4 linked regions of the Elephas maximus indicus genome follow. The protein of the gene in region 2 interacts with the protein of the main gene of each other region in a biochemical or structural test. Links are inferred from orthologs where the notes say so. Each region holds a gene or a part of one and is shown on either strand. Other genes may lie near its edges. The genes, in order: ESS2, NEDD4, WBP2 and FGFR1.

Region 1 (7,106 bases), on a different chromosome or scaffold from region 2:
CAAGAGAGGAGGGCATGCTCAGCCCCTAGTGCCCTCTCCTTCCCCAGTGAAGGGGAGGGCTGGCAGGGGAGCAGGTCCCATGGAGGAAGGGAGCATGCAGGCCAGACTCCCCAAAGCCCCTCAGGAAGTGCTAACCCCACACCAGAAAAGGAACCACCTCTTATGAACACGGGGACCCAGAGTCTTCTCCACTGGAGTCTCCTTCCCCACTTGAGGACATTCTGCCATTCTGCCTCTCTTCTCTCTTCCAGTATGGACATACAGTCCTACTTGGTCACAGCTGACCTGGCGTACTACCTCGCCCCCCACCTGGATAGGTGCTGTGGGGGGTGGGGGAATCTGTGCACATCCTAGTGTGTCAGGACCTATAGAATAGGAAGATTGGATGATGTAATCCCCAGAAGCCCCCTCCCCTGCTCCTTAGTCCTGTGAGTCTCATGTTGATACTGAGAAATAAAACAAGCAATTAGACTGCAAAAGCAGTCCAGAGTATGAAGTTCACTGTGTGGCTCCCCTTCAGAGCCCAGCTGGGGCCCTGCCCCTCCTCCTTCCTTTTCAGGGATTTGAAGCCTTGTATGTCTTTGGGAGGGAGCACAGTTGAGGGAGCCCTCAGGTGGAGTGAGCCTGCACAGTCCCTGTGCCAAGCTTTCCCCCAGCAGAGCAAATTGCCCCCTGGATCATAGCCTGGCACCCTGGGGTCAATGCTGGCCACTAGGTGCTGTTAACCCACTTCATGGGTGGCGGGTTCCTTGGTTTCCTCCTCTCTGGAGGGTTTCCATGCTGTGGTGTTGGCCTCTCACAGGGCAATCAATCTCTGCCATCCTAGGGTAGGGAGGTTGGCCTGGGAAGACCCCCGCTGCTCTGGAAAATGCTTACCCTTCCCTCCATCATCCTGGCCCCAGGGTGAAGTATAGCATGAAAACATAGTTTCTGTTCTCCAAGTGGGACCATACAGTGGGTCCAGGGAACCCAGCACCCCCTTCATCTGACTTGGGAAACTTATTTTGTCTCTCTGTAGTTACTGGTGGGAATTGGGGGAGGTGTCTCTGGCAGGGGAGCCCCTGGGTGGTATAAAAGGTTAATGCATCAGCTGGCTGGAGGCTCAAGTCCACCCAGAGGCACCTCAGAAAAAAGGCCTGGTGATGTACATCTGAAAAATCAGCCACTGAAAACCCTGTGGAGCACAATTCTACTCTGACACACATGAAGTCACCATGACTCAGGATCAACACGATGGCAGCTGGTACTGAGTATCTGGCAGGAGACAAAGTCCAGCTATAAAACATGCAGAAATCAGGGCTTTAGCTCCTGGGACACTCCAACGCATGGTGTCCCTCAGCCCAGACTGCCCTAGTATGCTGGTAGAGCAGCTTTGTGACAGCCAGAAGCCTCAGGCAGAGGCAGAGGTTAGCTTCTGGCTGTCACAAAGCTGCTCTTCTCCCTGAACCCTGGCCTCGCCCTTGGAGACTGCACTTGTAGATCTAAGGACATGACCATATCCTGGCCAGCATCCCTGAAGACTGGGACACCCCCCCTCTCACTGGGTTCCAGGCCCCTTGTCTCCTTTGGCTGAGTGGATATTTGTTATTATGCAGGGCAGCCATGAGTCAGAACTAGCCCGAGCTCCGCCTTCCAGGGACCAGTGGCTATGCCACTCTCCTGGCATTTCTCCTTCCTCTCTAGCTGCTCACCTGGCCATTTACATAGGCATTCTCAAGACTCAGTCCCAATCATTCCCCTCCCATCTCCATTCTTTCCCTGGCTTTTCTCTTCCACCCTCAGGATCTGGTTTTCTTCTCTCTGCCACATTTACATGTCAGTCCCAGGCCTCTCCCCTGACTGTTCCCTTGACTACTCCACCTGAAAGCCCACAGGCTCCTCAGCCACTTTGTCCACAGTGAACTCTTCCCAGGTTCAAACCAAGCACATGAGCCAGGGGGCTGATAATCACCCTGACTCCTCCCTCTTCCTCACTCACCATACCCAGGCCAACAGCAAGTTGATTTTACCTGCACAGCCCCACCCCTCAATGTGTCTTCTCTCCAGCTTCTGCTGCACCATCCTGAACCACCATTTCTCACCTTGACTATTGCAGTTGCCTCCAGGCTTGTCTACTTGCACCCACTCTGTCTCCTCTAATTCATTCTCCATAAAATCCAAGTGCAAATCTGAACCTACCTTTCCCCTGCCTGCAGCACTCCAAGGGCTTCTCATTGCTCCCAGAATAAGTTAAAACTCACCATGGCCCATGAGGCCTTGTGTGGCTTGGGTTCTGCACCTCTGGTGTCATCTCATACCTTACTCCTCCTTGTACTCCAAAGGTCAGCTTTGGAACTTGCCTTGCTCCCTCCCACCACTGGGCCTTTGCACATGCTCTTTCCTTTTTCCCTGATCAATGCCTGTTCATCCTTTGGCTCTGCAATCACTTTCTGCTCAGGGAAACTTCCTCTGACTTACCCCACTGGGTCAGATTCTCCAAATACAAGCTCTTTTCTTGCACTTGTCACAGCTGCACTTTTATGCTTGTTTGTGGGATGATCTAACTAGTGTCTGTCTTCCCCACTGGACTGTCATCAATATGAGGGCAGGAACTATCACCACGGAGTCCCCAGGGAATGAAAGGTTGACTGCATACTATAAAAGTAAAGTTATACTAAATTTGTTTGGGTAGAACTTATTTGATGTGTTTCTCCTTTTGGAAAGAAATTATTCCTGAAAAATGCTTAAGACAACTTTTGGTCCACTTTAGTGAGAATTAGTCCTCTTCTGGGAAGCCCACTCTGCTGATTGTCATTCAGGGACCTAATGATCTTTAACTAGACATTTCTTTTTTTTTCTTTTTGAATTTTTAAAAATTGTGTTTTAAGTGAAAGTTTACAGTTCAAGTTAGTTTCTCATACAAAAATTTATACACACATTGTTATGTGACCCTGGTTGCTCTCTCTATAATGTGACAGCACACTCCTCCTTTTCACCCTGGATTTCGTGTGTCCATTCAACCAGCTCCTGTCCCTTTCTGCCTTCTCATCTAGCCTCTGGACAGGAGCTGCCCATTTAGTCTCAGTTCTTACTTGAACTAAGGAGCACACTCTTCACAATTATCATTTTATGTCTTATAGTCTAGGCTAATCTTTATCTGATGAGTTGGCTTCAGGAATGGTTTAGTTCTGGGTTAACAGAGAGTCCAGGGGCCATGTCTTCTGGGGTTCCTTCAGTCTCAGTCAGACCATTAGGTCTGGTCTTTTTTACTAGAATTTTCATTCGGCACCCCACTTTTATCCTGCTCTGTCAGGGACTCTCTGTTGTGTTCCTTATCAGGGCAGTCATTGGTGGTTGCCAGGCACCATCTAGTTCTTGTCCCAGGCTGATAGAGTCTGTGGTTTATATGGCCCTTCTGTCTCTTGGACTCAAATTTTCCTTTTGTCTTTGGTGTTCTTCATTCTCCTTTGCTCCAGGTGGGTTGGGACCAATTGATGCATCTTAGACAGCCACTCGCAGGCTTTTAAGACCCCAGATGCCACTCACCAGAACATTTTCTTAAAAAACTTTGTTATACCAATTGACCTGGATGTCCCCTGAAACCATGGTCCCCAGGCCCCCACCCCTACTACTCTGTCTCTCAAAGTGTTTGGTTGTATTCCAGAAACTTCTTAGCTTTTGCTTTAGTCCAGTTGTGCTGACTTCCCCTGTATTGTGTGTTGTAACCAGACATTTGTTTATTGAGCCACCATGCTTTTTTTGTCGTTAGATAACTATCAGAAAATAATTGATTTTTTTCTTGCATAAAGTTTGAATTTAAACTTTGAAACGCGTATATAACCAAAGTTTCTGAAGAGCAATTTTCGTTAACAATATAGATGGCACACGTAGTGATTAACTTTTCACCATTAAAGTGAACACACGCCGCCGCAACCGAGGTCCTCAGCATCCATAGCCCAGCCACGCTGACGAACGTAGGGCAGGACGGAGGCTGCAATTGCCTTCAGGCTCAGCGCTCGTAGTGACGTCACATCGCAGCGCAGGCCGGCCTTCGACGCACGCAGCTCCCCGGTTGGCTGGCTGTGTAAAGCGCCTGCGCAGTTGGTGCAATTCTGATGACGTTCCCCTCCGCCCTGTGACGCTTCTGCGCCGTCGGAACAGTGTTGGGATAGCAATGGAGATGCCGGGAGCTTCGGCCCGGGTCCTGGTGCTCCCCAATGCGCCGGGGTCCGGGAGGAAGCGCACTGCGAGGGCAGCGGGGGCTGCAACGAGCAAGCAGCAGATCCTGGACGAGGAAGAGTACATCGAGGTACGATCTTGGTGCGGAGGCCGGCCCCTCCCCGCTTTTTGGTCATTTCTTGTCTCTTGAGTTGCTCCTTTGGGGTCGTGGCGCGCCCCTTGTCGCTTTGCAGAGTTGGAGCAGCCCGAGTCCTTGCCCTTGGGGTGTGGAGTGTCCCGAGGGGCAGGCAAACAGTGCAGAGGGAGGTGTCTTTGAGGGGCGAGGTATTAGTAGTGTTATCAGGGGAAGGAGGCGGCAGCGGCTCCGTCTGTATGTGGTGGGGGTCAGGGAAGGGAAGTTTTCTGTCAAAGAATGAGTAGAAGTCTGGCAGAGCGGAAGGATGGTGGCGAAGAGGGCGATGACAGCAAGTGCAAAGACTAGGTGCTGGAAACAGGCTGCGGTTGTGGCGGCATCATTGAGTGCGGAGACCTTGGTGGACCCTTGAAGTGGGTGTTGGTAACTTGAAGTCGGTGTTGGTCCTACTGTAAACATGTAGAAGGAATTGGCAGGGGGATTGGAGGAAGTTATTTCGCTTTTAGACTGGTAAAATTTGGGATGCTTCTGGGATATTCGGAGCTCTGGTGGCGCAGTGGTTAAGAGCTTGCTGCTAACCCAAAGGCCAGCAGTTAGAATCCACGAGCCGCTCCTTGGAAACCCTGTGGGACAGTATTGCTCTGTCCTGTAGTGTTGCTGAGTCAAAATCGACTCAATGGCAAGGGATTTGGTTTGGTTTTGGTCGGGGATATACAGGTAGGTGTTATCTGTGAACAGCTGGGTGCACAGGTGTGGAGCTTAGGAGCAAGTTCTCAGACAAGCGTTGTCTCAACTGGTGGTAGTGGTGGTGTAGGCCATGGGATGACTGGTTGAAGTCACCCAGGGAAAAAAGAGTTTAGATTGGAAACAGGAAGTGGTGGCAACACTCACATTAGTGGCAGTGGAGGTGACAACACTCACATTGGTCCTGCTGGTACTGTGGTGGAGCCAGCAAAGGAGAATGAGAACAACCAATGAAGGGAAGAGCGAAGGGTTTTGTGGAAATCGAAGGAGAGTTTAGTAGTGTTAGATGTTGCAGGTATGCCACACAGGATGTTCTTCCCTGATAGAAAGTGCCCCCAAGCTCTGGGAATTGGTTGGTTGCTGGTCATTGGGGCAAGCAAAGGTTGGAGAGACTCAGCAACAGTGGACTTAGAGGTGGGGGTGCCCAGATGGCGACTGTGACTTCTGTTCTGATCTCTCCTGACAGGGCCTCCAGACAGTCATCCAGCGGGACTTTTTTCCTGATGTGGAGAAGCTACAAGCACAGAAGGAGTACCTGGAGGCCGAGGAGAATGGAGACTTGGAGCGAATGCGCCAGATCGCCATTAAGTTTGGCTCTGCCCTGGGCAAGATGTCCCGAGAGCCCCCGCCCCCCTGTAAGGACTCTGCGGGTGGCAGAGATGAGAAAGCCAGCTGAACTGTTGCCTCAGGCTCGCTCTAATCTCCATCCCCTCTCATCTCCTAGATGTGACTCCAGCCACTTTTGAAACCCCTGAGGTGTACACAGGCCCTGGCATGGTGGGCAGCAAGCCCCAGCCCCGGGGCCGAGGACCAGAGGATGGTGAGTGAATGCCCTCCTTCAGTCCCACAGTTAGGATTGCCCAAGATTCTCATCCTATGAAGTCCTGAGGTGGTCTAAGAGGGCTGTAGATTACTTCTTGTCCCCCAGGGGTCTAAGAGCACTGGTCTAGGAGACGGAAAGATCTAGGTCCCTCTCCCAGACATGGGGCAGTTCTTTGAGCCTCTGGCCCTCCTCTCTAGAATGGGAATAATGCCACCTCCTCCAGACTGCTCATTGTGTGCCAGGCACTGCCCAGGCACTTCATGGACCTCAGAGTGCTCCTCTCCTGGCTGTTTCCATAAGACCCCTCAGAGCCTTTGCAGATAACTGTACAGCTTGTTCCTTCCCTTCCTTCAGGCCTCTGCTCATATGTTACCCTTTCAAGGAAACCTTTCCTGAGCTCCTAATGAAAAGTAGCAACACTCCTGGCACTTTGTGCCTTCCCACATGGCTTTACTTTTCTCACTGTAGGGCCTAACATTAAAAAAAAAAAAAAAAATCGTATTTGTTTATTGTCTCTCCTTACCTAGCATTCTCTCCGTGAGAACAGGGACTTTGTTTTGCTTCCATCTGTATCGTTAGCATCTAGAACAGTGCATGGTATGTTGTAGGCATTTGGCAAATATGTGTAATTTGAACAAATGAACAAGTTGTCTCCCATGTGTTTACTGGGGTGTAAGGCATTCAGGTATATACGTTCCATTCAAATTTCACAAGGAAGTTTCTTAGGGTAGAGCATTTTGAGTACTGTTCAATATGAGTGTATTGGAAGGGGCAAACTTCTTGGGGTTGAAAGCCTGTGACTGGGACTTTCTCATATTCAGGTTATCTCCTTGTCATTAGTAGAATGTCATTGCATGCACAGTTGGACAGACGTTATTTTCTACTAGGTTGTAGCTACGGTATGCTGTGCTAACATGGATGCTGTGTGTGTCCACAGAGATGTGATGTCTTCTGCTTCAAAACCCAGCTCTTCTCACATTAGCACATTCCATCGTGTTGTGTTCTCAGAGCTTGATTCTCCAGGTGAAATTTGACACATGAATCACCTTATCTGCCGTAAATACAGGAATTCTTCCAACAACTTAAGTCGTAGGTACCATTGTCATTCACATCCACCGATGAGGAAACTGAGACTCAGGGAGTGAAAAAATGGTGTGGTAGCATCTGACTTCCTTTAACTTCACAAGGCGGGAGGAGAATCAAGATCATCAGCACAAGCCTGATCACTGTGAGGTAGAGGTCAAACAT
Region 2 (7,970 bases):
TTTCATTAAGTGTAAAATTAATTTATCAGCAGCATGTAATTCAATTAGAAAACTATTAATCTGTTTATCCATAATATCACTTCACTGCTTTCTTTTGGGGAGAAAACAGCTGAATGGCTTATAATCTCCTAAAAACTAGTTTTTAAAAAGTTTTCTAAATGGAATTAATAATTATAAAGCATAGATCAGAATTTGAAATCTCATCTTTTTATCCTCTGTAAAATAAGTTGCTTGTATTGGCATCTGGGCACTGGGCAACAACGACTATATTTACCAAATTTCAAAACAGAAAACTAACAATTACCTAGTATTTTATTTACCTAAAGCTATTTGACCAGTTGTTTTGTTTTTAAAACCCTTAATACATCGGACGTTATATAAACACAGTAATAAACAGATAAGCTTACTTTTTGCATACCGACATCCAGAACTGGTTTAGTCACATAATTTTTTAAATGTCCTAGAATCTGGCAAGACCTTCCAAATATAGAAATTCAAAAAATTTAAGTTTGAAACACTTCAGAAAGTCAAATTGTAGCAGGAAATGTTTGGGTTAAGATTCAATTGAGTTAAATTACTAATATAATAAAGCAAAAATATCAAAACAACAAAATTATTAATAAGGTAACTAGAAAATTCTGGGAAATGCCTAGCAATCAAAAAAATTTTTAAGTATAAAATTTAGAATTTAATTCTGTTGAAATATTGAGTTACATTTTAGAAAGCAGTCTAAACTGGTGGCTAAAGAAAAATAGGGTGGAAACAAAATTCCTGTGGTTAAGGGTATATACAAATGCAAACGCCACTTACTCTTCCTCTGTGCTAAGCATGCAACATCATAGTTTTTATCAATGATCTAATAAATACAAACATTTTAAAGAAACATTTCCTCTGTGTTCATTAATAACAAGATCTTCACATCTTTATGTGGGTTTTTATCATTTAGTATTTTAAATAAGCATTTTACATTCTACTTTATTTCATAATGACTAAGGAGGGGAGAAAATTAAATGATCCTTTTCTAAAGTAAGGATAGAATATGAAGTTAGATATGAAAATACCATGTCACTTGAAGGAAAACATATCAAGACAAAATGTTATGAAATAAATTATTGTTCAAAGCTTATTTTAATACTACAGAAATGTTTATGGCTTAAATCACTTAGGAAAGTTTTTTTTTTTCTAATGTATATAATTTTTACATTGGCAAAATAACAAATGGAGTGGAATACTATTAGGGAGTTCCTCAGATTTTCAAATACAAAGTTCATTACTACAAAATACTTGCTAGTTAAGAACCAAGGAATTACGTAAAACTGCTAAGTTATAACTCGACGGCACTGGGTTCTGGGTTAAGTTATAGCAAATTTTAGCCAAATATTTCTTTAAGTTATTCTAGTATAAATTAACATTTACTAAGACCAAGGAAACGTACCTTTCGAGAATGCTTCAAAGAATGAGATGGTTCATCTGTGACATCTCTGTTGCCGTCTCTGGATAAATCACTAACTTTACCTACATTTCCAGTGGCAAACTTTATGTGTAATTGAGATGGTCCCCCCTTGGAACAACTGTGCTTAAGGCTGGATAAACAGGAAACGTTTGGATAAGTTCCTCCCAGTGAAATGCTCCTCTGTAAAGTAGCATGGTTTTTGTTTGTCTGTGAATTTGGTCTTTCCAACTGTCCACTGATATTTATTTGATAATCGGTACTTTGGTTGGGTTGTAGACAAGCAGATGTCCTATGCGTGAGCTTAGTATACTCTGTATCGGAATTTCGGTTCATTTCTGACATCTCTGGTTGACAGTCACCGTTTGCTGCTTCACAATCAAACGTAGTTGCTTTCTGTTGGGTGAAATGCACTGAAACACAAGAATATCCATCGGGTGACTCTTCGCAGACAGTCTGCTTTGGACTATTACTTGAAATAACCATTTTCTTTTGTAACGAGCCCTTTTTGTGAAGTGGCCTTATGTCTCTCCCTTCTCCAGGAGCACAAGTTGTTTTCGATAACCGCAGTCCATTGACAGCCGTTGAAAGAAATCCCTTAGCAGCAGTACCATCTTCAGTGTGCGCAATTTCACTGGGAGAAATAATAAACTGGTGTGAAGTCTGATAGGATCCTTTGCTTGAAAGAGTGCCTGTACTTGTTGGAGAAGTTGGTGGGGTATTTGAAGGACTCCTAGGAAAAACAACTAAGGAGGAACAACGTTTCAGTGGAATTTTGGAGTTCCTGCTCACCGGCAACTTCATAATCTCTATCCCATGGTCCAGGTCATCCTGGACAAAGGGAACTGTGCTCATACTTCTTGAGAAAACGTCACATGGAGTAGGGTTCCTGTCTGGCACACTCCTACTGGACGTGGTCTCAGAAGATAAGTTTCCACCAAAAAAAGGATCATCGCTTGGTGGAAAAGTACAGCTACTGCTGTCACTGATGACACTGTTAGTGTATGAGCCTCCACTCGTGATGCTTGTACACGACCCATAATCACTACCATTGCTGCTGTAAGACCCGTTATCACTGGCTAAAAAGTTACTAAGGCTACCACTACAAACAGCACTCAGTTCATGATCAACCACAGTATTGCTGTCAATGCCTTCCTTCAAGACACAAGTAAGGGAGGCGTCATTACCATCGGTTAAGACATTGCTAGACTGAAGACATCCACTGTACCTTGCTGGCTGTAGTGAAATCTGTAGACAGCTGCTCTTTTTATTAACATTTTCAGACGATCTTTCCTGAGACTTTACTAAAGGAGCCAGTGCAGCCTGTCGGGGAGTCAGCTTCATCTGAACCACGTTAGACGCTGAAATCCGTGTAGGTCTCCTGAAGCACATGTGAACATTGCTCTCCAAATCATCTCCGGAGCTTTCTGACAAAGGGTAAGTATTGCTTCTTCTGGCTGCAAAGTGCAATCGTAAGCTTTGTGCCATTTGTTCTCATTTCCAAGCATGTTAAGGGCTGAAAGTCATAACAAAGATCTCTGGCCGTAGACAGGCTAGAAGCAGCTGCACTGCATCGAAAGAAAAAATCATTTGTGGTATCTGAAAGAGTCTTAAGCAGCAGCCTTCACCCTTAGTAAAACGCTAGATACCAGATATCACAGAAAGAAAAAGACGACCCAGTCCTGAGAATGACGTTTCCAAAATGTCTTGAATCGCTTGTAGTCAAAACGCCTTCACTCACAAAGCACTTGATTTCCAGCGACCTTTAAGCTCAGCTCAGCTCAGCAGCAGCACACTGACTCAAACACTGCCAACCTTGTTTCAATTATACCTTCTCCAATTTGCATGAGTGAGTAACACAGGAACAACAATCTCCTAGCATTTCAAGCTGAAACAGTATGTTTTCCCTCCAGCTCTACTAAATGCACATTTAACGATTGGAACCACTGTGCCTGTACTTTCTCCGGCCGACTTTGGCCACTAATATTTTTACCCGTAGGTATAGAATTACAGGAAGTTGGTAGGAATGAAACCTCATGTAATTGAGTATCAAATCAAGGATTGAATTTCCAAATAGTTGCCATACTAGGAATCCGATCAAGTTAATGTAGAAGGGAATATATACAGTTAATTTTTTTACATGGTAAGTTCAAACAGTTCAAAATTTGGAAATACGAAAACTTTGGGGTGAAATAAAACTTTACCATTAAATCAAATAGACAAACAGTTTAGCTTCCAATTGCTAGTTATAAAAGCTGAAACTGTAAGGAACAGAACTACAAAATTAGCATAGTAATACTACTACAAACATTGAGCATGGGACCGAGGGAAAAAAAGTTTAAGAGAAACTGTCACCAAGCATTTTCTCCTGTAATCTTAAGGCCTTTTCCAGCCAAGTAGCACAGTCTTTAAACGATGCCATTTATATTTTGACTATTAAAACTCTGCCAAGAAATAGGCTAAGCAAACATTCCATTAAAAATACATGCAGATTAGGCAGAAAAACTATACGCCCATATAGCTGGAGCACATAGAATATTTTATTCCACTGTCTCTGCAATTCATTCAGCTAAGAGAGGGCTGTGGTAAGAAAGAAGTCTAAAAAAGATTTAACACATCAAATAAACATATCTCAGCGCCAATTCTGTTCTGAAGAACTGGAAGAGCCCTTTGCTGGCCCCTGCTGGTGCTTTGAAACCATCCTTCTAGCTGTTAGATATCGCCGAAGAAATACAAGCCACGCTGCATATTTCTTTAGATAAACAAAGTGCATATTTGTTTACATTTTTGAGTACCAAGCACTGCCCTCGAGGTGGAATTACTTACTACTACCGATAAAGCTCCTACCACGGAAAACAGTAGACTGTTTGTCCTCTTAGATGTTGTGATTTTTGTACATATGCTTTTTTTTCTGTTTTGTATTTATTTAACCTTTCATTTATTTTCAGTTTACTAGGTAATAAAAGTTTAATATTTTAATTTTTCCCCCAAATGTCGTTGACCAAGGTTGGTATTCTACTTGAAAGAAACAAATTTATTTTTAAATAATACTCTAGGGTATATTTAAACCCCTTACCTGAATTTTATAGTTGGAACTCCAGTAATAAATATATACTGGCTCATTCATAGGAAAGTGAAAAGTAAAATAGTTCCGTTGTTTATACCACATGGTACTACACCCAAGCTGTATTTTTCTAAGTAAGTTTTTTTCCTAAGCAAAAGCAAACATATAAAACATATACTTGTACCTTGTTTTTTTTTTAAAAAACTGCTTACGATAAATCTGCTTTCAATCACAATTTTCTGAACAGTGTTTTTAATTAGTTAAGACTTGACAAACTAGAAATATGGGAATTTATTATAGTTCTGACAAGAATGAGATAGTACTATATTTTAGAAAGTGTACAGTAGTTACAAAGTTAGCGATAAAGTTCATGTTATTTTGGTTTCATATAGCCTCCCTTACGATTATACAGACTTCTGCAAATATTCTCCTATCATCCTTTTTCTTTATAGAAGAAACAGTCAATCTTTTTACTTTGCCTTCAAGTGACTTCAGCTTTCCTTTTTGGGTTAAGTTAGAGGTCTAACGACTCAAAGAACAGATTATTTTTAGACGACTAGTCAAAAGAGATCTAACCACTCGTGTCTCTGGCCTAAAGTGTCCAGTCAATAAGCAAAGCTCCCCTGACAGTTAATATAAAATTATGAACCCATGTATGTGACCAGATGAATGTCTTCTCATTGGTAAGCTTCGCTGTAAGCATTAGTTTCATGTCCCCTAACTAGATTTTAAAGCTTCCAGAATGTGAGGACCACAACTGTACATTTCTTCTGACCTCTTGGGCTCATGTCAGGCAGACTCAGCACTAAAGAACCAGAGAGAAGGCTGAGTGGATGGACGGTCATGCAGTCACTCTGACTGCCCAACACTGCCTTTCAGGTTTTGTGTTATTTTTTTAACTTAAGTTGATCCAGCTGCTACTTGTAAAGAAATATTAAAAAACACTGCAGCTGGATAAGAAGGAGTGATGCTTGAAAATTTTGGAGAAAGGAACCCAGCCAAGGAAAGGTAAGAGAAATACATGCATTTCCTAGAAACCCAGTCTGAGTTTAAATTCTAGAGAGGTTGAACAGCCTGCACTGTGGGCTGAGGTCTGGGATCGTACAGGATCTGTAGAACCATCACAGCAGCTGCCATGTGGAGCCTGGTGAACCTAGGGTAAAACGTAGGCCCTTAGCCCAGCAGCTGCCATGTGGAGCCTGAGGGACCTAGGATAAAATGTAGGCCCTTGCCCCAGCAGCTGCCATGTGGAGCCTGAGGAACCTGGGGTAAAATGTAGGCCCTTACCCCAGTAGCTGCCATGTGGAGCCTAGGGAGCCTGGGGTAAAATGTAGGCCCTTAGCCCAGGAGTTGCCATGTGGAGCCTGGGGAACCTGGGGTAAAATGTAGGCCTTTAGCCCAGCAGTTGCCAAAAGAAAAGCCTCAGCCCTCACTCAGGTGAGAAAGAGCTAGAGAGTAGAAGCTTAGAGGTAGCCCCTTATAGCAGGAACCTATGCAAGGCCTATAGAATTTCATATTCTGGAATTAAAAGGATAATGTCTCAGGATTAGATGGAAGCTTATGGCCCACATTCTGAGATATTTTGGTTATTATTATTTGCACACACAGAAAACAATGTGATTGCATACATGGTGTGGGTGGGCTCTGAGTAACCCTAACCACTGACTAGAGCTTTGAAGGCTAGAGACCATTAAACCTGAGAAGCACAGCATCTCCACTCAAGACAAAGCAGTCTGCTAAATCCTTGGTGGCTAGATGTGTGCATATAGAACTTTAGGTCGGTGAACAGAGGCACCAACTTTTGCACTGGTGGGTAAAATCTTCTTAAAGGCATACCACTCTGAAACATTCCAACACTGTCCACACCACCACCACGACCCACCAAGCCACTACTACAGCTTATAGTTCTCGGTATTAAACTGGCTGAAAAAGAGGGTCTATAAGCCACCTCTTTCTCAAAAGCAAATATCAGTTATATTGTAAAACTTTTCCAGATGACAAGAAATGGTTTCTGCTTAGATTTCTAACTGCGCCGTCTCCTTCCATTTCCCAGGAGAATTTGCTAAGAAAAGGATGTGTCCCTAATTTAGCTGTGAACGCTACAGGAGAATAAAGGTAGAATGACATCACAGTGCACAGGCCAGTCACTGCTGGAGAATCACGTCTCACTCCACCAACAGCTATAACCAAAAACCAAACCCGCTGCTGTCAAGTCGATTCCGATTCACAGTGACCCTACTGGACAGAAGAGAACTGCTCCACAGGATTTCCAAGGAGCAGCGGGTGGATTCGAACTGCCGACCTTTTGGTTAGCAGCCGAGTGCTTAACTATAGCCACAGTTTCTATGATATCTCAGTGACCTACACATTTCAATTACCTGCTAGAACTAGCAACAAATCAAAGGACCAGAACGACACACACCACTCTGTTCTAATTGTCTCTTGCTCCCTTTGGCTGGTAAAGTGAGCTTCTTGAGAAAAGTAGCTGTATTTCTAATGCATAGCAGTCATCTAACTCAGTAGGTACACTAAAAGGCAACCTCAGTTAATACAAAAATATGGCATCAGAGAGCCATAAACACATGTATCCACAAATGTTAAATAACACTTCATATTTGTATCATGAATAATTTTCTGAGCGCTTTCATAGCTGCTGTCTCATTTTAAACTTAACAATAAATTTATGATAAGCAGGGCAAATACTGTTATCCCTGATTTTTAAACACGAGAAACTATTTTCAGAGGGACTGAATGACTTGCCCAGGGTTACAAGCTAACATGCCAGAGCAGACGCAGGGTTACAACAGGGCTGCTGACTCCTTGGTGTGGAGATAGACAATATCATGATTAATGCATTTTTTTTTGTTTTTGCTTTTACTTAAAAGTTTTTTTTTTAATTTTTGTTATATTTACCAATCTGGAAACATCCAATCGTTAACATCAGAGTAACTTTTTTTTTTCTTCCAACTCATCAAAAACTAAAAAATCAAACCCTCTGCCATCGAGTCAATTCTGCCTGACTCACAGCAACCCTCTAGGACAGAGTAAAACTGCCTCATAGGGTCTCCAAGGCTGTAATCTTTACAGAAGCACAGTGCCACATCTTTCTCCCACAGAGCAGTTGGTAGGTTAGAACTGCAGACCTTTTGGTTAGCAGCTGAGCACTTAACCACTGTGCCACTAGGCTCCTTTCCAACTAAAGGACACTACTAAATTTATAACAAATGCTCAACAAATGTTAATGTACCAATCAGTAAATGACAAATATCAATTTCAGCAATGAACAGTCAGACCACACTAAAGTTACTGTCAAGAAGGACTAGACAACTATGCAGGCTAGAAAGCTGTGCCTCTTATAGATAACATGCAAAAAACTCAAACAATAAAGCAGTTCACCAACAATTCACCCAAAAATCAGGGAGAAATTCACATCAGTATCAGTAACAACAGGAAAAG
Region 3 (7,290 bases), on a different chromosome or scaffold from region 2:
CAATAGAGCCATCCACCCCCTGCTTGGTGTAACACCCTTGGGTGTTATAACCATGGCTAGAATGTGCGAGCGAAGATGCCAACTTGAACCCCCAAAGACGGGGTTTTGTGACACCCCACTCCCTGCTTCTCTCCTTCAATGTCTATAAGGCTAACCCTTGGGGAGCTATAGGCATTATCCTCCGGAAACCTCTCAGAGTCTGGGTGGGTAACTCTCCACCCCCCCAGGAATGCCCTGCCACTTCTCACTCTGTGGGTTTGCCAGGCTCTCTATCCAGTCCAGAGGGCGAGGCCATGCTGCTGGGTTCTGGCTGCACATTTGTCACTCTGAGTGTACATGGAAGCCCCACCGGCTACTCTGACAGAAAACGAGATAATAAAGCCTCTCTACTCCAGGCCTGGGTCATGCTAGCAGCCACATCCAACGACACAGAGACTTCACAGTGGCAGCTTTGGAATCTGCGTGGATCCGTTGCCCAGAGACCAGGTCAGCTACATAAGGAGGTCAGTGGGTCTAGAATCTGGGAGCGTGTGACTGAGAAACACAGAGCAAGGGTTCAGAGGCCAATGGACCCACGAGGCCAAGGCGGACCTGAGACTCACACCCCCTTTCGAGGGCAACGAGCCTCAAAACCAACTGTCCCTCTATGCGACTCACCCGGTACGGGGTCAGGTAGGCAGTGCCTTTCTTGGTCCCTCTGAAGGCCTCAGGCACGTTTCTCATGTCGCTGAATGTAAGTTCCACATGGTCATAGGACATCAGGATGCTGTGACAAGAGGGGACAGGCTGAGATGAGACTGTGTGGAAACAGGTTCTGGACCTCCTGGGACTGGGCCTTCCAGGTGAGCAGTCGCCTATTAGCAGCTGTCCAGCACCCCCTCTCGTATAAATGGAGGAAACCATTAATACACCCGTCAACGACACGTACAAGGTGGAGTTCCGGAGAAGTCCTCCAAAGCTCACTTACACAGCCCTCACGTGACCAGCGCAGTCACGAGACGCCAAAGCCCCTCCAGAGGCAGGATGGATGATCTGGGTTAATGCTTCTATTTTGTGATAGGTGTTCTGTTCCATTTCTTGATTTGTTTCTTATGCCTATATAAAAATTCTAAGATGTGACTTTGTAGCTTAAAAAAAAGGCTTCCTTTAGGGTTCCTTTAAGCCTGAGATTCTTTACCTGGGCCCACCAGGACCGGATCGGGGAGCCCTTGAAATGCCTGCGCATGTTCATTGCTCTGGGAGGGCCCCTTGGTCTCATTACCCTCAAAAGGGTTCACGAAGATTAAGATTCACTGTTTTCAACATCAGAGGCCCTGGGTGATGCAAACGCTTAACACGCTAAGGTGCTAATCAAAGGCTGTAGGTTTGAGTCCACCCAGAGGAGCTGTGGAAGAAATGCCTGGTGATCTACTTCTGAAAAATCAGTACTGAAAACCCTATGGAGCCCAGTTCTACCCTGATACATACGGGGTCACCATGAGTCAGAATTGACTCAATGGCAACTTGTTTGGTTTATTTTAAACATTGGCTTTAAATTTCAATTATTATATATACATTTTTTTTTTTTTTTCCCCAGAAATGAGGCCGAAGAATCTCCTAAAGCTAGGCACACCCTACTTTAATACTCATGGAGCACTGAACCAGGTAGGAGGACGAGCAAAATAGATTTTTGTCTCAGAAAAGTCCTGCTGAGAGAGAAAGAAAAACAGCCCCAGGAGATGTTCCCAAGAGTGTTTGCCCAGAGCCAGGAACTGGCTGCACACAGACAGCTACAAACCAGTGAGCAGTATGAGGTTTCTGATTATAAAACAAAAAGGTCAAGTTCACACGGCTCCATTTGTCTCCTTCCACCTCCCAAATATAACATTCTTGACTGGGGAGGGGAGCGGGATAAGTGGAAAAGAGAACTGATAATAGAAAAGCACAGCTCACAGAAATGACTAGAAACAGTCGGGGTATCTGGGTAGGTTAAGATGGAGGGGGAGTCAGAATTCGGAAGTCCGAGTTCATCCTAACTGTCTCCTCTGACTCATCGAGCACTCCCAGGTGACAGGTCCCGAGCTGGATGCTGGCCCTGACTCCATCATTTCTCCTCTGGTGACTCAGGTTCCTAAGCTCCTTCTGACTCCAAGATAAGCACGTTTCAAATGAGGGCTGGCTGGTCTGATTCTCAGTGGCCAAAAATCTAGAGGGCAGAGAGCCATGCCCACGTTGAAGGAGAGAAGAATCAATTGGGCAAGCATGTGACAAGAGGCAAGGGACCAACCTTCACAAGGACCCGCACCGTGCCAGGAACTGTCAGACACTTGACAAACAGTATCTATTTCACATTTGGAGCCTCAGCTTCTCTGCAGTTAAGCCTATTGACTTGGGTCAGGACTCATTTCCTGGAATCCCATCTCTGTTATTTACAGCTCTATGATCTCGCCAAGTTATTTACCCTCTCTGTTCTTTAGATTTCCTACCAGTAAAATGTGTATAATAGTATCTGCCGCACAAAATGGTATGTATTAAATTGGGTAGAACAGGCGCAGGGCCCGACACGTAGCAAGGTAGTAAACAACCGATAAATGACAATTATGTTTGTCTAAGGCTCTTCCCAGCTCTTATTAAAGTCATCAACTCTAGGAAAGGGGCTCAACACCCACCCCTGGGGTCCATCTCTCTCCTGAAACCCCGTCCCCTCCCTGCCGAGTCCCCTCCGCAGCTGATCGAAACATTCCGGCCCCACCCCCGCGACCCACCCACCTCCCTCCAGCCCTCCCCCCAGCCGTTACCCCTCCCCCCCCTCCGCCGCACCTCATCAGTTTCTCCTCCTTATGGGTTTATTTCCCACATCCCACCGCCCACTGGCTGCGCCATAGACACCCGCCCTTCAGCCCCCCCCAGGATTCTTCCGCAGTGTTTTCACCTCTCGGTGTTGTTGACGATCACTCCGCCACCCTCCGAGTGATTCTTGTTGAGCGCCATAGTCTCGGAAACGGGTCCCGAGACTCTCAGTGCAGTGCGCTTGCGCCCCTCTTTGGCCCGCCCCCAGTGGCGTCGTTCGTATTAGAGTCAGCCAATCATAGGTCTTGAGCGGAGGCTGGGCCAACCACCTGATCCCTCACGTCACGTGCTATGGTTTACTCCCTGTTCCTTCTACTTCCGCCTGCGTCACAAACTAGGTGAAGACTACAAGTCCCAGGAGGTAATGCTCTGGCAACCTCGACCTCTCCCTATGCTAATGAAAGGATGCATTCTGGAACTTGTAGTCTCCCAGATAAGAGGCCTGGATTGACTAACCCTAAACCTGTGTGGGAACCGAACAACAAACAAGAAGACCCGTGTGCAGGAGCCCTCGTGGCGTAGTGGTTACAGTGCTTGGCTGCTAACTGATAGGTCGGCGGGAGGATATTTGGGAGAAAGATTTGGCAGTCCGCTTCCTAAAGATTTGAGCCTCGGAAACCCTGTGGGGCAGTTTTACTCTGTCCCATAGGGTCACTTTAAGTCGGAATGGACTCTACGGCAAGGGGTTTGGTTTTTGGTTTTGAATCTTGTGAACTCCCCACCCTCACCCTCAGTGAGAATCCACTGCCATCGTGTCGATTCCGACTTATAGTGAATGGAAACCCTGGAGGTCTAGTGGTTAAGAGCTACAGCATGGTATATTGAATATACCACGGACTGCCAGAAGAAGGAATAAATCTGTCTTAGAAGAAGTACAACCAGAATGCTCCTTAGAAGCAAGGTTGGCGAAAACTACACCTTACATACTTTGGCCATGTTGTCAGGAGGGACCAGTCTCTGGAGAAGGCCATCATGCTTGGCAAAGTACAGGGTCAGCGGAAAAGAGGAAGACCCTCAAAGAGGTGGATTGACACAGTGGCTGCAACAATGGGCTCAAGCATAAGGACGATTGTGAGGATGGCGCAAGACCAGGCAGCGTTTCCTTCTGTTGTGCATAGGGTCGCTATGAGTCGGAACCCACTGACGGCACCTAACAACAACAATGTTCCCGGACTTGTGTAGTCGCTAGGGTCTGTTCTCAGAGTGGTGGGGTGGCTGGTTGGCAGAGAAGAAAGGATCAGAAAAACCGTCATCCCTTTAATCAAATCAAACAGACCCACCAAGGCCGTAGGTGGGGAGCGGAGGCTGGCTCTGGCGCCCAGACGTGATCACCCCCAAGAGCCACTGTTCGGCTGGGAGCGCGCCAACCTCGCCGCCGCCTCCACCACGGCTGGCCTCGCGGCGGCGCTGCTGCCTCTAGAACGATGCTCTGGCTTTGCGTTCCGGCCCCGCCCTACGGAGTCCAGGCTGGAAGATATAAACTCCGAAAAACTGAATGAGAGACCGGCAGTCAGACCGTGTCCTTTACAAAATAGGGCTGGCTCATTTCAGCCTGTGACCCAGCACTGGGCGTGCCTCACGGCTTTGGCTATCTAAACCCCGCGACCCGGAGGCGGATCTTTGAGGGGGAACGTGGGGACCTGTCTCATGGAGGGTTCTGGTCTATCTTTAATCTTAAGGGAGCCTAGTTTTTTTTTAAGCAGACTGCAGATTTCCCAACACGTCATGACCAACCTCGTGATCCACCTGCGTGGCTATTTGAGTGAGATTTCCCAGATAAAGGATCGAAAACCCACCTCACCAGACAAGATCATGAAACAGACAACAGTCTTCTGTGAAGTCTTGTGCAAGATCAAGTTGGACCATGAGGACAACTGTAATTAATTAAGGATGGACATGATGAAATCTACCCCAACTGGTTACATTAATTCTGGTGCATGTGATCTATAAACCGAACCCGGTGCCATCGAGTCGACTCTGACTCATAGCGACCCTATAGGACAGGGTAGAACTGACCCATAGAGTTTCCAAGGGGCGCCTGGCGGATTCAAAGTGCCCTCCCTTTCCTTGGTTAGCAGCCTTAGCACTTAACCACAAGGCCACCAGGGTTTTGTGCAGGGGTTAAAAAGAATTGTCTAACTCTGGGTAGTGACCTGGAAACCCTGGTGGTGTAGTGGTTAAGTGCTATGGCTGCTAACCAAAGAAAGGGACGGCACTTTGAATCCGCCAGGCGCTCCTTGGAAACTCTATGGAGCAGTTCTACTCTGTCCTATAGGGTCGCTATGGGTTGAAATCGACTCGACAGCACTGGGTTTGGTTTGGTTTCTTGGTTTGGGTGGTGACCTAGAAAAATTGTTAAGGTATATCAAGTAAAGAATGGTGCATAAATATGCTTCCATTCATATAAAAAATAGGAGCTATGTAAATGGTAAGGAGCCCTGTTGGCACAGAGGTTAGGCATTCCATTTGGCCGGTGGTTTGAACCCACCAGTTGCTCCATGGGAGAAAGATGCGACAGTCGGCTTCTGTAAAGATTACAGCCTTGGAAACCCTATGGGGCAGCTCTACTCTGACCTATAGGGTCATTATGAGTCAGAATCGACTCGATGGCAACTTTTTTTTTTTTTTTTTTTTAACGTAAATGGTTAATGTCCTTGGCTGCTAACTGAAAGGATGGAAGTTTGAGTTCACCCATAGGCACCTCAGAAGAAAGGCCTGGTGATCTACTTCCAAAAAATCAGCCATTGAAAACCCTGTGGAGCCCAGTTCTACTCTGACACATGGGGTCTCCCTGAGTTGGACTCACCTGGACAGCGACTGGCTTTTATGTATATATGTACATATGGAGCTCTGGTGGCAAAGTGGGTAAGAGCTCCCGCTGCTAACCAAAAGGTCGGCAGTTTGAATCCACCAGCCACTCCTTGGAAACCGTATGGGGCAGTTCTACTCTGTCCTATAGGATCAGTATGAGTCAGAATTGACTCAGTGGCAATGGGTTTGGTTTAGTTTTATATAATATATATTTAATTTCTGGAAATATCCACCAGAAAATGTGGTATTATCCCTATGAGACATGGGTCCGGCAGTTTGGGGTGGGGTGGTGACCCAATTGGAGCCTTGGTGGAGAAGTAGTTAAGAGGTCAGCTGCTAGCCAAAAGGTCAAGAGTTCGAGTCCACCAGCTGCTTCTTGGAAACCGTATGGGGCAGTTCTACTGTGTTCTATAGGGTCGATATGAGCCGGAATCGACTCCACAGCAATGGGTTTGGGTTTTCTTTTTTTGGTTTAGTGACCCAATTTGCATTACATACTCTTTGGCTTTTTTTACTATGTACATTTTTAAATAATAATAAATTTCATAAAGAAAGAGAACATCCACCCAGCATTGGGTCTGCAAGAATGTCTGCTCTAAGGATCATAAAAAGGAAGGTGGGAACAACAGTCCAGCCCCACCCTCACCCCTTTGCCAAACTAGGTTGGAGGCAGAGGCAGCTCTAGGTTTGGTGGGACCCGAGCTTATATGATTTCAGAGTCCCTCTTTAAAGAACAAATAAACGGTGAGTACAAAATACCTGTGGCCACACTGAGGCCTCCTGACAGGAGGGGAAATTCGATGAAGAGAAAGTGGGAATGGAAAGAGATAGCAGGCTTAAGAGATTTCGGCTAAAATGTCTGACTTATGCAAATTTTATAAAAACATATAGCTATGTGAACACTTTGCTAGGGCCACTCCCAGGCCTTGGATGGGGCCTGTTGTTTCCAGCACCCACACTGAAGGGCTCGGTGACAGTTCACTGCTGAACCCAGTCAGCAGTGACAGCCTCTCTCTGGGCCTGGGCCTCAGAACTCTGACCCCTCCTGCCTTCTATCCTACACAGCATCTCATAGGTGCTGCCTATTTCTAAACCAAAACAAAAAAACAACCCAAACCCATTGCTCTCGAGTTAATTCCAATTCATTGAGACCCTATAGGACAGAGCAGAACTGCCCCATTGGGTTTCCAAGGAGTGGCTGGTGGATTCGAACTGCCCGCCTTGTGGTTAGCAGCTGTAGCACTTAACCACTACCACCAGGGTTTCCAAGGCAGTTATCTTTACGGAAGCAGACTGCCACATCTTTCTCCTGCAGAGCAGCTGATGGGTAAACAGCGGACCTTCCAGTTAACAGCCGAGCACTTAGCCACTCCACCACCGGGTCTCCCGAACCCATTGCCATTGAGCCAATTCTGATTCAAAGCAACTCTGTATGATGATGATGAGAGATGATGAGCCTGTTTCCAGTAACAATCATCTTTTTTCATGGTATCGTGGAAGAAAGGCCTGGTGATCTGCTTCTGTTAAGATTATAGCCAAGAAAACCCTATGGAGCAGTTCTACTCTGTGACATACGGGGTTGTCATGAGTCAGAATCTACTCAACAGCAAGTAACGACAACAACGTAATTGCCCCTGTGCTCAGAATGGG
Region 4 (7,371 bases), on a different chromosome or scaffold from region 2:
TCCAGTTGATTTCAACTCATGACGACCCCATGTGTGTCACAGTAGAACTTTCTTCCAAGGAGCCTCTGGCTGGACTTGAACCTCCAACCTTTTGGTTAGCAGCAGAGCATGTTAAGTGTTTGCACCACCCAGGGACTCCTCTCTAGTCTTGCCTTCCTCAGTTACCCAAGATGAGTTTGTAGATTTTCACATCATTTGTCATCCTTTAGGATTCAGACACCACTTCCCTGAGCCATCTCCTTTTCCACCAGGCCTCCTGACCTCTCCTCCCAGAAAACCCTGCACGTGCATCTGGGTGGCACTACCTATAACATTTGGTTTCTCCAACAAGACCTCCTTGAGATGGTGCCCTTGTCTCTTACATGTTTGGATCTATTGTGCCCAGCACAGTGCCTGACACACAACAAGTGTTCCCCCTCCCCATGCTTGGTGAGTAAATGTACCATTAGGATCAGACAAGCTGAACTGCTGCTGTTGCTGGCTCCGCTTCCCGCTCCCAGTTGGTAGGAGAGAGTGAAATGTTATTTACAAAAACACCAAGCCAAACAAGACCCTCCCTTCCCTGACATGCTGAAGCTGTGCTAGGAACAGCCAGGGGTCACCAAATGGTGGCCAGATGGTAACTGACGGCTGCTCCCTAACTCCAGGGGCCTGGGGCAAAAGCCTTTGCCGCCCACCTGCTCCCAGGGACCTGTGAATGATCCACTTCTTAGGGAAAACACAGACAGTCCCCTCCTCCTGAATCCCCTTCTGCAACCCGCTCTCAGAGCTGAGCCTGCCAGTTGCCAACCTGTCTAAGGAACCTCTAGCCTTGGGCTAGAGCAGAACCATGGCCCAACCTCGCCCAGTACAGATGTCCCTGGCCTCCCCCCACCTCCTTAGTGGTGAGGTCTTCACTCTGCAGTACCTACCCGGTGTAGTAGGGTGCTCGTCCCTGATGGGGGCTGCTGGAGCCTAATGAAATAACCAAATTCGGAGCAGGGGTGCATTGGGACAGTGGGAGTATGGCGAGAGAGGAGAACTACCTCTCGGTGGAAGAACTTCGAGGACACAAGTAGCCTGAAGAAGACGGGAGGGATTTTCTGCAAGTGTTCCCAAACAAAGAGAACTGAACAGGCTTTGGGGAGAGCTCTCTTTCCCTTGGTTTCATTCAGCACCATTCCCCTCCCGCCTCAGATCCGGGAGGCAACAGGCCCCCAACTGGTTATCAGGTCCTCGAGCATGAGGGCCTTTTGTCTCCCCCTCAGACATCTAGCTGGCAGGGCAAGGGGCCTACAAATCCTCCCTGACCCTCCCAGCTCTTTGTTATCTCAGAGGGAAGATTACATTTCTGTGTGGGGAGGCAAGGTGCCAGGAACCCTCAGTGCAGGACAGGCGGGCAGAGCTGCCGTCTGACCCGTGCTGCCTGGGGCGGTTCAAGCGGCCCTGGGGATGCTCTCCTCCACTGGCCCGGGGCCTTTCTTCCTGGGACTGAAGTGCAGGGTCTGCATTTCAGAAAGAGAAGGAGGGGAGTGGCACGGATGAGGAGCGGGACCAGAATGATAAAAGCAGTCAGCTCTCAATTATTCAGGAGCCCTGTCTGCGGTCAGTGTATCCCTCCATTAGTTTCTGGATTCTTCACCTCCATTCCTTCCAGCCGTATCTGACTGTTCCCCTAAAAACTCGGGGAGAGAGAGCTATCAAGTTGGCTACTTGCTTCATTTTGGTTTCTTGCTAAAACTGTAGAGGAATTTGTTGGGCGGCAGGCCTATGTGCCTCAACACCAATCAGACAAGACATCTAGATCATTCTGTTTAAATCCAGGACTCATTCTTCAGCCTCCTCTTTTGGGTTCAAAGCACTCCCCAAACGCTTCCAAATTAAAATGAAAGAAAAAAAAAAAAGAGCTCGATTTAAAATCTCATGAGCTTTTTTTTGTTTGTTTGTTTTAAAAGAATCATAAGGAGGAAGGATGATACTCTCTCTTTCAGGGATAAAGTGGGAAAATAGTAGTTGTGTGTTAATATTAAATTCTGGATTTTCCATGACTTATCTTCTCGATCATATTCCCTCAAATTGTATTTCCTCTTGTGCTAACCCAGATTTGTTACCCTCATCAAGTCCATCAACAACAAATATGTATAAAAAGTCTCCTGAGTACAGACTCCTAAGCTAGACTTGATACATAAAAGGGATCCTTGCTCTAGAACAGTTCAGAAGCTAGCTAGACAGAACACAGAGTAAAAAAAAAAAAAGACAACTAACAAAGGCTATTTTAAGTATCAAATGAGTGGGTTATACCGGAAGGTCAGTAGGAGTGCCAAGGATTGAATGGGGCTGGGAACGGCAAAGGAGGTGTCTCTGAGTGGAGAGGAGTGTGAGTTTGGCCTTCTTACAGATGGATGAGCATTATTTTAAAAGCCGAAGGACTAATGGGTGGACAGCTTATATGGAAAAGTAAATGTAACCTGTCCAGGAGCTGGAGGGCTGAAGGGATGAAGGGGTGAAAAACCTGTAAACAATGGCTGAAGTCCATTTATTCCACCAATAGGTGCTTTCCTGCCATTTAGTTTTTGATTTATTCATTTATTTAACAAATATGTACTGAATATTTACTCTTCGGTCAGTCAGTACACATTTATTGAGTGCCTAATTTTTTTTTTTTTTTACTATGTAGATGATGTTGTGTTGGTCACTATTCTTTCACCTGCTGGTCAAATGGAGAAATAACCTAGGGACTCATTCCTTTGTTTGGGAAGCCCAATCTCGCTCTATATCCGAACCTTTAATGACCTTGTGGATTGGGGTGGAGTGGAGGTGAGAGAACAGGCCCTGCCATTAACTTACGTAGTTATTTCTATTTGTGTTAACACTTTGGGTGCCCTGACTGTCATTATTTTATTTGATTTCGTGACAACCTTGTGAAGGAGTCCCGACAGATACCTCTGTCTCATTTTTTTCAGACAGCTGACTTGCCCAAGCTCAAATAGTTCACAAGTGGAGGACCTGAAATCAGGTCTCCTTCATACCCAATAAGGCCTACCTTCCACCCTCCCAGTGGCCCCCAACCTGGCCTCACATCACAGGCACCATGGGAGCCTCAGAAAAAAATACAGATTCCTGACTCCTTGGAGCCTCTGAGTAGGTCCAAAAATTTATATTTTTAAAAGTTCCTCAGAGAACTCATGTACATTTGGATTAGGCAACTACTAGATAATACCAAAGGAGTCCTGGTGGCAGAATTGGTTAAGCGCTCGGCTGCTAACCAAAAGGTCGACAGTTTGAACTCACCAGCAGCTCCGCAGGAGAAAGATGTGGCAGTCTGCTTCTGTAAAAGATTATAGCTTTGGAAACCCTATAGGGCGGTTCTACTCCATCCTATAGGGTCACTATGAGTTGGAAGCGACTTGAGGGCACACAGCAGATTGTATCACTCTGTTGCAGAACCCAAGGGAAAGAACGTTTTAGCCACCTTTTCTGGGGTTCCTTACAGCAATGCAGGGTGCGGCATGGGTGAGCTCTGATTAATTTCCAAAACAACACTCATTTTTTGCTTTCTAACATTCCCAGCAGGCCCAAGAATGGCGCTGTAGAGTTTACAGGGCCAACTTCCCGTGGGCCACAAAACCGAAGGGAAGTGATTGGGGAAAGTGAGATTGAAGGGAAGGCGGGGATTGACCTTCACATGAATTAAAAAAAGAAAAAGTTTTGTATTTATTGAGTGTTAACTATGTGCACATAGCTATGTCCTAGGCTCTAAACCTAAAACCAAACCCGTTGCCATCAAGTTGATTCTGACTTGGAGTGGCCCTATAGGACTGAGTAGAACTGTCCCGTAGGGTTTTCTCGGCTTTACAGAAGCACCCTGCGCGGAGCGGCTGGTGGGTTCCAAGCGCCGACCTTTCAGTTAGCAACTGAGCGCGTAACCACTGTATCACCAGGATTCCTAGCTCAAAACCTACATCTCATTTAATGCTCAGCTCTATATGTAAAGTACTGTTATTATTTCCCCTTTTACAGATGGGAAAATCGAGAGTTAGAGTGAGTAAATCATTTCCCCAAGTCACACATTCAGACTCCAAAACCTATGCTGTCAGGGACAACTTCAGGGTTATCCCGTCAAACCACCTCACTCCCCAAACTGCCAGTCTGCCCATGGCCTGAAATACGGGCGCCTTACTCCCCATGCTCGGCTGGAAGGGCGCGGGCGCCAAAGGAGACCAGACTTCAGAAAAGGAAGGCAGGAGTGCCGGCCAGCTCAGTCCCGCTGCCCCCTTCTCCGGGGCTGCGGCTGAGAACTACAAGGCCCAGCAGGCAGCTGCAGGGGGCGGAGGAGGAGGTGGGACTAGCGGGGTGTGGGAGTGTGAGAGCCCTCGCGCCTCGCCGGCGCACAGCGCTCGGAGCGCTCCTGCGGGCACTGGTGCGGAGGGCTCGGCAGCCGGCGGCGGCGAGCAAGAGTGGGAGCCCCGGTCCAGCCGCAGCGCCGGAGGAACCCGGGCCGTGCCCGGAGCGGGGCGGCAACGTCCGGACAGCACCGAGACTCTGCTTAGCGCATTGCGGCGACCTCGCCTACCCCAGCGGCGAGCTCGCGCCGCAGCTGGAAAAGCAGCCGAGACCGAGGACTTTTCTCCGGTCCGAGGGGGCGCTCCGCAGGTCGCACCGTACCAGTGCTGCAGTCGGGCACGCCGCGGCCCCCGCAGGGCGATGGAGCCCGGGCTGCAAGAAGCGTGAGCCACCGCCGCCCGGTTCGGCGGAGGGGGGGCGTAGGGTCTGGAGACCCCGGGCGGCGGACAGGAGCCCTCCCCCCTCCCCGCCTCCGGGGCACCAGCTTCGGCTCCATTGTTCCCGCCCGGGCTGGAGGCGCCGAGCACCGAGCGCCACCGGGAGCCAAGCGCCGGCCGCGGGTTTCTTGCGGCCCGGCGAGAATCCGAGCGGTGCCCGGGGGCGGCGGGCCGGAGCGGGGGACGCCGGCACCCGCCCGCCCGCACAAGCCACGGCAGACTCTCCAGAGGCGGAACCGCAGCGCCGAGTGAGGTAAGAGCCACGGCGCCCCCAGATCCGGGGCGGGCTCGGCGTCCCGAGCGGCCCCCGGCGCTGGAGCTTGCTGGCTGCGCGCTTCCCCCCACTGTAGCCCAGTCGGGTCCGGCGCCTCCCTCCACTCGTTACCCGCCCCCCCACCTCTGGGCTCTGCGCCCCTCTTTTGTCTCCCCCTCCGCCCGCGTCGCCTTCTGCGCCCCCTCCCCGCGCTGGTCCCGCCGCTCCTCCTGCTGCTCAACTTTTCCGCCAACTTGTGCTTTGGAACTGGCGAGGCGGCGGCGGCGGCGCGGCGGTGAGTCCGGAGAGGGCCAGGGCCAGGGCCGAGGCTGCGGCGGCCCTGGGGCTGCTCGACCCGGGAGGAGGGCGGGAGTGGGCAGCGAGGTGGGGTGTGTGTGTGTGTGTGCGTGAGTGTGTGTGCGTGCGTTGCATTCCACTCCATCTCATTTTGGTCCCTTCCTGGTGACTCACCCCAATCCAGCAGGTAGCCTTGGACTGAACGCTAAAAATCTGTGCTATTTCTAAGTCCTTTTCTTCCTCCGGGAAAGCCTGGGGTCGGAGTTGGGGGTGGGTGGGTAAGGCCTTGAAGAGGGAAGGAAGGGGAGGGGGCAGGATCGCTTCTCTTCGAATAGGTTTTAAGGAGGTGTCGTCACCAAATGGCTGAATCTGCTTTAGCGAAGGGCGAGGAAGGAATTCCTCTTTCCAGAGGAGGTTATCTTCTACTTAGTTTGGGGAAGGGGAGCGCACCCAGCGGGTGATGTTACATCCCATATGGGGGGAAGAGGGGAACGTTTACTTCCTATCTAGTTCTTGGAGGTGGGGGAAGGGATGAGGGTTTTCTCTTGTGAGGTTCACTCTGTAGCGATGCCTGTGACTTTTCTGGCCCAGACCCCTCTGCTCCCCGCTGCCCCCTCACGTTATGTTTGGGGTGGGGAGAAGGGGGGCTAGAACCCTTTTTTGCAGAGGAATTTATTGACGTTTTAGGTGGGGCTCATACAACACACCATGAGAAGGCAGCCAGGCACCTCTTTTTGGGGTGATGGGGTGGAGTGGGAGGGAAACCGGCATGTCCTTTCTGGGCCCAGAGCTATTAGCCCTTTAAAAACAAAACAAAACAAAACAAAAAACAGTTCTGCGGTGTCTTTCTCCCGCAACACTTTTTTTTTTTTTCCTTTTTCCGTTTTCCAGATGTAGCAGCCGCATCTGGTTCCGTTTCACCCCACACGGGTACACCGAAGCCACATTATTACCATCCTTCTTCCTCCCCTCCCCCAAATGAAAATTAGGACTCTTCAACACGTTCTTGCCACCTCCGCCCTTAAAATTTCTAGAGACTTGAGGATGAGGTGGGATTCGGGGAGAAAAGAAAGTTGTCTTGGATCCCACGTTCTTTAGTTTCAGCCGTTGGTGATGGTTGGGATGCTTTCTAGATTGTGTAGAAAAAAGAGACGTCGTGGGAGATGGGGCCAAGGTTTTGGGGGGTGGCACTTACGAATGGTTCATCTGCCAGAGAAGGCCTCTTTGGCCGTGGGTCTGACCCAAGATTGGCCCTGATGGAAGTTTCTGGAACCAAAGCATTGCTGTCTGCTTCCTTCAGTTATCGCTGGAGCTGCGAAACTGTCTGCCCCTGTCCGGAGCCCGCGGTCCCTCCGAGAAGCCGGTCTGGGGCTGCCCCAGCGATGGCAGTCACACGTCCCTTTTGCACTCAGTGTCCAGTGGCCGAGGGTGGGGGCGTGCGAAGGCGGTGGGACTGCTGCTGCCAGAGGCGCTCCCTGTGTGTTTTCAAGGAGTTATTTGGGCTGCAGCCCCCGGAAACGAAAGTGGGGCACTTGACCATTTAAATAAATAACGGCTACGGCTACAGGCTACAGGTTTGAAAGCCGGGGTTGGATTGTTGAGTTGTCCTTTTGTAATAGCCTTTGAGGCAGGAAAGCACCTTCTGGTCCAAACTTGAGAGAAGGTGGGAAGAATTGGTCTCTCTCGCCCTCTCCCTTGCAGTCTCTTTCAAATTGAAAACACTTCTCTGGTTTCCTTCTTTGGGCGGTAGTTTTGGAGGCTGTAATGAAATCGCACTTTCTCTAGACATGGTAATTAAGGTGACTGTTTCCCTCCCAGATGTGCTATGCCCTGTGCACCTCCGGACCCGTGCTTTTTTTGGAATACTGTTTAAATTGTAGAACCTTAGCCTTGAGAAGGTTTAGCAGAAAGTAGCCATTTCCCCCCCTGGGCCAATATCCCAGTTTCCTCTCTGAGGCTAGTTTAAAAGCTAAGTAGCAGGGTCCCGTGGGATGTGCCTGGGTCTAGCTAATTACCCCCAAGCCTGGGTCATCTCTCTTCCTTTCAGTGACCAGAGAGAGC

Evidence for each region.
Region 1: the proteins of NEDD4 (region 2) and ESS2 interact in a test that uses a peptide from one of them, tested with the Homo sapiens proteins (2 studies listed by BioGRID and IntAct, with this or other methods). The link is inferred for Elephas maximus indicus from reciprocal best matches to the Homo sapiens genes NEDD4 and ESS2.
Region 3: of the proteins of NEDD4 (region 2) and WBP2, one has a biochemical effect on the other in vitro, tested with the Homo sapiens proteins (6 studies listed by BioGRID, with this or other methods). The link is inferred for Elephas maximus indicus from reciprocal best matches to the Homo sapiens genes NEDD4 and WBP2.
Region 4: the proteins of NEDD4 (region 2) and FGFR1 form a complex in vitro, tested with the Homo sapiens proteins (2 studies listed by BioGRID and IntAct, with this or other methods). The link is inferred for Elephas maximus indicus from reciprocal best matches to the Homo sapiens genes NEDD4 and FGFR1.

Annotation. Positions count from the first base shown.
Region 1 is NC_064840.1:34,786,529-34,793,634, forward strand, and holds the start of ESS2 (splicing factor ESS-2 homolog), read left to right. Parts: upstream 1-4,104; 5' UTR 4,105-4,153; coding exon 4,154-4,288; intron 4,289-5,501; coding exon 5,502-5,670; intron 5,671-5,759; coding exon 5,760-5,855; intron 5,856-7,106. UniProt on the Homo sapiens protein: May be involved in pre-mRNA splicing.
Region 2 is NC_064831.1:46,258,114-46,266,083, forward strand, and holds the start of NEDD4 (E3 ubiquitin-protein ligase NEDD4), read right to left. Parts: upstream 3,017-7,970; 5' UTR 2,939-3,016; coding exon 1,436-2,938; intron 1-1,435. UniProt on the Homo sapiens protein: E3 ubiquitin-protein ligase which accepts ubiquitin from an E2 ubiquitin-conjugating enzyme in the form of a thioester and then directly transfers the ubiquitin to targeted substrates. Specifically ubiquitinates 'Lys-63' in target proteins.
Region 3 is NC_064837.1:66,099,848-66,107,137, forward strand, and holds the start of WBP2 (WW domain-binding protein 2), read right to left. Parts: upstream 3,002-7,290; 5' UTR 2,971-3,001; coding exon of another isoform or gene 2,912-2,970; intron 1,096-2,911; 5' UTR 1,075-1,095; coding exon 968-1,074; intron 767-967; coding exon 658-766; intron 1-657. UniProt on the Homo sapiens protein: Acts as a transcriptional coactivator of estrogen and progesterone receptors (ESR1 and PGR) upon hormone activation. In presence of estrogen, binds to ESR1-responsive promoters. Synergizes with YAP1 to enhance PGR activity.
Region 4 is NC_064840.1:62,287,219-62,294,589, forward strand, and holds the start of FGFR1 (fibroblast growth factor receptor 1), read left to right. Parts: upstream 1-4,356; 5' UTR 4,357-5,013; intron 5,014-5,020; exon of another isoform or gene 5,021-5,308; intron 5,309-7,371. UniProt on the Homo sapiens protein: Tyrosine-protein kinase that acts as a cell-surface receptor for fibroblast growth factors and plays an essential role in the regulation of embryonic development, cell proliferation, differentiation and migration.